Linked DNA regions of Saccharomyces cerevisiae S288C. Changing the gene in region 1 together with any one later gene gives a genetic interaction. Each region holds a gene or a part of one and is shown on either strand. Other genes may lie near its edges.

The links. A genetic interaction does not mean that the proteins touch.
Region 2: mutations in CSG2 (region 1) and FAA1 together harm fitness more than expected from each alone (negative genetic interaction), as found in Saccharomyces cerevisiae (4 studies listed by BioGRID).

Annotation. Positions count from the first base shown.
Region 1 is NC_001134.8:308,673-312,430, forward strand, and holds CSG2 (mannosylinositol phosphorylceramide synthase regulatory subunit), read right to left. Parts: upstream 1,642-3,758; coding exon 409-1,641; downstream 1-408. Other genes in the region: Cu-binding protein SCO1, read right to left, coding at 1,893-2,780; chitin synthase CHS2, read left to right, coding at 3,226-3,758. UniProt on the Saccharomyces cerevisiae protein: Required for calcium regulation. May regulate calcium accumulation by a non-vacuole organelle. Also regulates the activity of CSH1 and SUR1 during mannosyl phosphorylinositol ceramide synthesis.
Region 2 is NC_001147.6:907,378-911,135, reverse strand, and holds the start of FAA1 (long-chain fatty acid-CoA ligase FAA1), read right to left. Parts: upstream 1,794-3,758; coding exon 1-1,793. Other genes in the region: YOR316C-A (uncharacterized protein), read left to right, coding at 3,201-3,410; metal cation transporter COT1, read left to right, coding at 3,581-3,758. UniProt on the Saccharomyces cerevisiae protein: Activates long-chain fatty acids (LCFA) by esterification of the fatty acids into metabolically active CoA-thioesters for subsequent degradation or incorporation into phospholipids.

The sequences.
Region 1 (3,758 bases):
TCATTTTATGAATCTTGGTGTTGTATTCACAGCTACTTCTCCTAATGCCTTCGATGCATTTAGATAATTTTTGGAAACATTTTTTTTCTTGATGTATATTTTTTGTATTGTAGAAATCGCGCGTACTGTACTTGTATATCGCTTTATAAGCGCTTTTAATTGATTGTTCATGACGAGGATAGGCGGATAGGCGGAGGTATGCCTCTTAATATTTATAATAAAGCCCACCAAATGGCTTCTTCTTTTTAGAATATACAATATACAAATAAAAATAAAAAAATAGAAGAACATCCTAGTAATTGTCTTGAAAATAATCAAGATATTGATTGGGATTTTTTATTTAGGGAAACCAAATAATTGCATATGCTTGTTACATCATCATCAGTCATATAAAGTATGTTGTCCGTACTAATGGTGGTATTTACCTTCCCCGAGTGTTACTGATAGGACCAACAAACTTACCGTTAGCATTATGTATCCTATGACTTCCCATCTCACAATTGTGGTTTGCGTAGGTTCGCAAACCCACTCAGCTAACCCCATAAAGATAATAGCTCCCAGGTTGCACGTCGTCAAATACTCAGCAGGGGCCTTGCGATTCAACTCTAATATCGAAATCAAGCTCGGCAAGGAACCAAAGATAATCGAGCCTAGTAGAGAGAACCAAAAGCTCTTGTCATTATAGAACAACGAAATGGATTCCACAGACTCACGGGAGGGAAATTTAGGAATAAATGGCAAAAGTATTACCATGCCAATAATACCGATTAGGGCCATGTGGGTGCTCTGCTTAACCAAGACTACAGCAGAATTTTCGTTCTTGGAAATGTTACTGCAAAACCAACGGTTCCATAACACGGCAAAAGGACCCATAATCAAAGCACCAAGGCCGCAAATCAGAGCACCTTTCAACCTATCAAACAAGAATGGGTCAGAAAGTTCACCCGTGTTAGGGTTGACGGACAGCTTTCCGGCAAGCATGTCACAGGTAGCCTTCGTGTATGAGATGATCAAAATTCCAATGACCGCGTTCATCATGATGAGGAAATTACGGAAAACGTAGTTCTTCCTGGAGATTCCACAAACACCATATAGTAAAGTGACAATTTCGAAAATGGCAGTATTTTGCATCAAAGCAACATCAAATGCCGGTGACAATGACAAAGCCATGTTATAAGTCAAATCAGCGACAATCATTATGAGAGCCAGCACTGTTAGCTTAGCCACATATTTGAAGGTAGCCACGGATATGATTTTTTGCTTCTGCTGTTGGGCTGGAATCCGTGGTTGAGGATCATCCAACACGTGCGAGAACGTATCGACATCTTCGTTTGTCACAGACCCGCTGTTGTTGTTGTCAAACTGAGAATTCCTGTTCGAGTCTGAGTCAGAGACAAACATCGGTCTCATCTTCTCCCAAAGTCGAGATGCAGGCACCAAGAGCAGCCACGAAGCAAAATACATAAAGGTCAGATAGAAGGTTAATGAACTTGAGTTTCCGTTGTCGCCGTTAGTTTCAGGCGTTGCAATTGTACCATTGGGCCCCACGGAGATTTCCTTTTTAGATTGTATGTTAGACAAACATTTTGTTTGAATCACGTAGCCTATTACACTTGAAAACCAAAGTAGTGTGGTAGACATGACGCTGTATCTTTGTTTGTTATCGTGCTAACTCACCAGCTCAAGAGCGGATCTGTTCTGGAAGAAAATGGCCTACAAACATTTCTTTCACTTGATCTTCCCACGTTCACATAGCCTCCTTTAGAGTGAGAGAGCTTTTTTTTTTCTTGCGATACACCTTCGCCGGGTGATAGCCGATATTACAAGAACGGGTTATAGCGTTATAAGTATATATGTATATACAAGGAAGAAAGTAGCATATATTTACAATCTTATTTGAATAAGAAGGAGTACCATGCCTCCTTCTGCTTGGCGCGCTGCTCTGCAGGCACATAACTCTTAACGTGTTCCACGATCTTGTCCACGCCCGTTTTTTCATCATAATTTCTACCCAAAGCATCAACAAACTGTCCTTCAGGGTCCATGAGATAAAAGAAGATGGAATGGTCTACCAAATAATCTTGGCCCGGTTTGACGTTTGGAGGCGTAGAAAAGTATACTCTGTACTTCTTGCATGCGTTCTTCACCTCATCGAACGTCCCCGTCAAACCCAGGATGGAGGGATGAAAGTCGCTCAAATACTCTTTCAATACAGCAGGGGAGTCTCTTGCTGGATCACAAGTTATAAATAATGGCTGCAGAGTAATACCATACTTTGAAGAGAGTGTATTAAGCCATAGACCTAGCTTATCCAGTTCATCAGGACAGATGTCAGGACAGTTACTAAACCCAAAGTATATTATAGAAAACTTACCGAGAAGGTTTTTCTCCGTAAACTCATTGCCATACATATCCTCCAGATGGAAGGGTCCCCCAAGTGAAGGTTTACCGTATCCTCTGTTTGCTTCAGCCTCCTTCTGTGTTTCCAATCTGCGTTTCTCCCTGTTGAAGAAATAAGAAAGTGCCCCACCGACTGCTAGGAATAGAGCAATGGCCTTTCCCGTGGAAAACTCGATCGAGCCTTCTCGCACTTTGCCGTTATCCTTAATGGGAGTACCGCCCACAGGTACTCTGCTTAATGGTTTCTTGCCATTTGACTGCCATAAGCGCGTTACAGTAAAGAATCCCCTTTGAGTGAGCAATTTAGCGCCATTGCCACTTAATCTTGCGGCTGGCAATTGGACCAATCTTAGATTGGCACTTCTTGACAACTTCAGCATCTTTTCTACGTTTGCTGTTTTTTCTGTTTCCCTTGCCTTATACGAACATACGTTTCTAATGCCGATTATAAACACAATAGACACAATTATACTATTTTCTCACTTTTCTCTTCGGGAGATCGCTATTGATTATTATTCCCGTTTATTTCCTTCAATTTAGGGTCTGAAAAGAAGATAGTAGGGTTAGTTTTTTGGGGTTTAAAACCCTAGTATAAACCCCTATACTATTTGTTTATATATTTCCTATTTGAGTATGATAGCATCGATATTGAAATTTACAGAACTTCAATTTAGTTTCAATTGGGAATTCGAGGACTCTCCCTTGGGATGGCCCCAGTCTATTTAACTATCTTCCATAATATTACTGTTGATTTCGTGACTCAGAAGAGAAAACAGAGGAAGTTACATATAGACCCAAATAAAAACCAAAGAACCACATATAGAAATGACGAGAAACCCGTTTATGGTGGAACCTTCGAATGGCTCTCCTAATAGACGTGGTGCTTCAAACCTCTCCAAATTTTACGCAAACGCTAACAGCAACTCTCGGTGGGCTAATCCCAGTGAGGAGAGTTTGGAGGATAGCTATGACCAATCTAACGTTTTCCAAGGCCTTCCGGCATCTCCTTCGAGAGCTGCACTAAGATACTCCCCAGACCGTCGCCATAGAACTCAATTTTACCGCGATAGTGCCCATAACTCTCCAGTTGCTCCGAACAGGTATGCTGCTAATCTACAAGAGTCTCCCAAAAGAGCAGGCGAGGCTGTCATACATCTAAGTGAGGGGAGTAACCTTTACCCCCGCGATAATGCAGATCTACCGGTAGACCCCTACCATCTATCACCCCAGCAACAGCCCAGTAACAATCTGTTTGGAAGTGGCAGATTGTATTCTCAAAGCTCGAAATACACGATGTCTACTACTTCCACAACGGCTCCCTCTCTGGCAGAAGCAGACGATGAAAAGGAAAAATACCT
Region 2 (3,758 bases), on another chromosome or scaffold:
ATACCAACTGGCTTAGTCTTAGATTGGTCGGCATAAACACAAATGTTAGCAACATATTCGTTAGATCTGTAAACGGACTCTAATTTCTCGAGTGCGATATATTCACCGTTCATTGTTTTGACCAAGTTTTTCTTCCTGTCAATTATTTTCAAATGGCCATTTGCTTCCCATTCACCGATGTCACCGGTCTTGAACCAACCATCGCTTGTTAAAGCTTGAGAAGTTTCTTCCTCATTCTTATAATATTCAGGCGTGACATTGGCACCTGTGATCCAAACTTCACCTTGGTTGTTTTTAGCAAAATAACCTAATTCTTCAACATCAACTAGTTTGACGGTAACACAACCTGTTAGGTCACCAGCGACGCCGAGTTCAAAATTAGCAGGATCCAAGATGGTGGTACTAGCGCATGTCTCGGTTAAACCGTAACCAATAAGCATAGGGCAGATTAAATTTGTGATGAATTCCTGAGCATCCCGACTGATTGGAGAACCACCGTTTAACAAATATCTTAATTGGCCACCTGTGGCAGTTCTGATTTTTTTGAAAACCAAGTTTCCTAAGGCGCCGCCACCAGGGATGTGGAGACGTTGCATGTTCAACTTGGTATTATACGCGGTCCAGAAGATTTTCTTGGTGAGGAAGGGCAAATTATCAATTTGGTTTAAGATCCCTTTTCTCACTGTTTCCCAAACAGCGGCGACACCAACCATGATTGTGGGCTTGAATTCTTGCAAATCACCTTGACAATTTCTCACAGAGCTGCTAGTTAAAGTTTTTACGGTGGCATAACCAATGCAGGCCCCCCAATAAAAGGACAATAGTTCGAAAACCAATTCAAAAATATGAGCTAGTGGCAAAAAACAGATAACACGGTCGGTATTGCCCACAAACTTCAAAACATTCAAACTTGCACCACCAACACCTGCGACAACATTTGAATGTTTCAAGACAACACCCTTTGGCTCACCTGTAGAACCAGACGTATACATGATGCAACAAAGATCATCCTTGCCAGGTGGATGAACATCGATTTCGTTACAGGATTCTTTACCTAGCTTCAAGATGTCGTCAAAGCTAAAGGTCTTGATATCAGGTCTAACTTCTTTAATTCTGTTGATGGCATCATGAGCAGATTGATAGATCTTACCACTTTGCCTCCTGTCCTCAGAACTGATGGAATCGAAATGAATTATGTATTTTACGTCTTGAGCGGCTTGCACTGGTTTGATCAAGGATGGTAATAAAGAGTTATCGGTAAAAATGGCCTTAGACCCCGTTTGCACCAAAGAATGAATTAGCCCTTTCTCTCCCAAAGTATCGTAGGCAGTGACGACAGGAATACCTTGAGACTGCGCTCCTAAGAACATCTTCATCCACTTGTGAGAAGTGGCTGCGTAAAGATGTAATTTGTCATCATCATTAGGCTTTAATCCTATTTTCACCAACCCACGACCAATTTCATGCATGATATCGGTCAATTGGTCAAATGAATTATAATGATAATGCGATAGTTCATAATACATCCATTTCTTTTCCACTGAAGTCTCCTTGCCATCAACTTTTTTCATAACCGATTTGGATTCTTCATGAATTTCCTTAACATCCCTCCAACCCATAGCATTTGAATTTTTGTTCTTCTGAAAGCACTCTAGAACAAACTCATAAACAGTGGAACACTTTGTGTTAGGCGGTCTGACGAGCGGCTTCTCGCGGCATTGATAATTTCTTCTTGGAGCAGTTTCATGCTCATTGGCGGCTTTCCCAACTGGAACGGTATATTGAGCAACCATATTGTTGTCTTTTTTTGTCTTTTGTGTTTGTTCTAGTTTTTATTGTATCCTAACGAGTTTTTTAACAACAAGAACTTTCTATACTTACTAAATATACTACAATTGTCTCACGACAAGTGAGGGGTAAAAGGAAAAAAAGAGAGAAAAATAAGCGGTTAAAGCCTTTTACTTAAAGACAGCGAAGGAGATCTCCAAACATTTTTGTTGTAATATCGATAATACGATATCCGCGAAAGGAACCAAAAAAAGCAAAAAAAAAAAAAAAACGCGCGAGAACAGCCTATCTCTGCTGTCCCGTATGCACAGGGAAGTTCTCCTGATATGCGATGGGTGGGTGCCCCTGTGTCATTCGTATTATATGATGTATTCGTGCCTGTATCATGCATAAATATTCACATGGCGGAGATCATGTTCCTGACAGGGCGTGATCGACTTTACTATTGTCCTTGTCATTCCCTTATGGAAGAATATGACAGGGCTGCATCATCCATATTCTAAGTAATTCTCTTTGCCGCGCTAAGCATGGCTTCATCGCTTGTTAGAAGGCGCATTTGTTATAAAGTTCAGCCGGCTCTATCGGTCCGCTAGCTAGGTCTGTTTACTTTCCGCAGCGTAAGCAGCTGGCAAAGTGGATCGGTCTTACATCTACAACGCAGTGACGTTTCTGATACTTTGGTGACGTATTCTTTTCTCACCGCTACGTTTTCTTCGCCCGCTCCGTGCGGACCGAAAAAAGACCCTCTCCCCTTATAAATTTTGTCAGTATTATAGCAATTGCCTGCGGACTTTCACCGCGCTTAGATCAAGAGGGCATCATGAGGCTACCTACAATTGACATACTAAGTCAAGAAAAATAATAGTGTATCGAATACGCGTGGTAGCTACATTAAATACTAAAGTATGGTTTTTTTTTTTAAGTAGGTTTACTCTTCATATTCTTCATTTTCATTTTTCCTTTTCTTCCCGTTCTTCATTTTTATTCCTAGAAAAAAAAATAAATATGTCTATCGTTAACCTAAACATAAACAAAGTTTAGCCCGCTTATTTAAATGATGCCCAGTACTTTTTTTCAAAACTCATATAATTATATATATCAAGAATGCTTTCCAACCACCGCTTGTATTAAGGTGTAGAAAGGTGGTTTTTGTATTCAAAAAGAGTACAAGCCCATTATAGCTAACTTAACAGTCCACCCTACTATATCCCACGCATATCTGGTTTTAACTTGTGGCGGGCGATATGGAACGAATTTTTCAAAGTTAACCATAGAAAAAAGCATGTGATCAAGGCAGAGTGAACGAGGGAAAAAGAAAGTGTGGAGAAGGCCACCTTTTGAAAAGTTTACCAATCGATCGGTCTCTCAGCACTTTCTACATTTAATCTCTTTATAGTGAACATCGCTGGCTCATGCTGGTTCCCATGCATAACTCACCCACGGCCGCCAACGGCCGCTTATCACTTACTGTCGCCAGCTCCGGTCTTAGAAAGGGTAAAAAAAACCGGGTGTATACTATACACTCATACATCCGCTCACCCGTTTCCAGTAGTGAATTTTCATTTTCTGTACGAAGGCAATATAAGCTGACGATCCGCATAAAGCAGAAGACTCATTTGTAATGCAGAATATCCGTACAATAAAGGAATTTATTGGTCTTATATATTCTACGTGGGAGCTCGAAAAGCATTTCTGGTTCTATTTAGTAACCAATTATTTTCACTTTGCTCAGAATAGTTCTGCATAGCTATAGAAAGAAAGTTAACACAAAGTACGGAAAGATTGAGTAAATATGAAACTCGGAAGCAAACAGGTAAAAATTATATCCTTGTTGCTGCTAGACACAGTGTTCTTCGGGATCGAGATAACTACCGGGTACTTGTCTCACTCTTTGGCTCTAATCGCGGACTCATTCCATATGCTAAACGATATAATTTCTCTTGTGGTTGCACTTTGGGCCGTAAATGTTG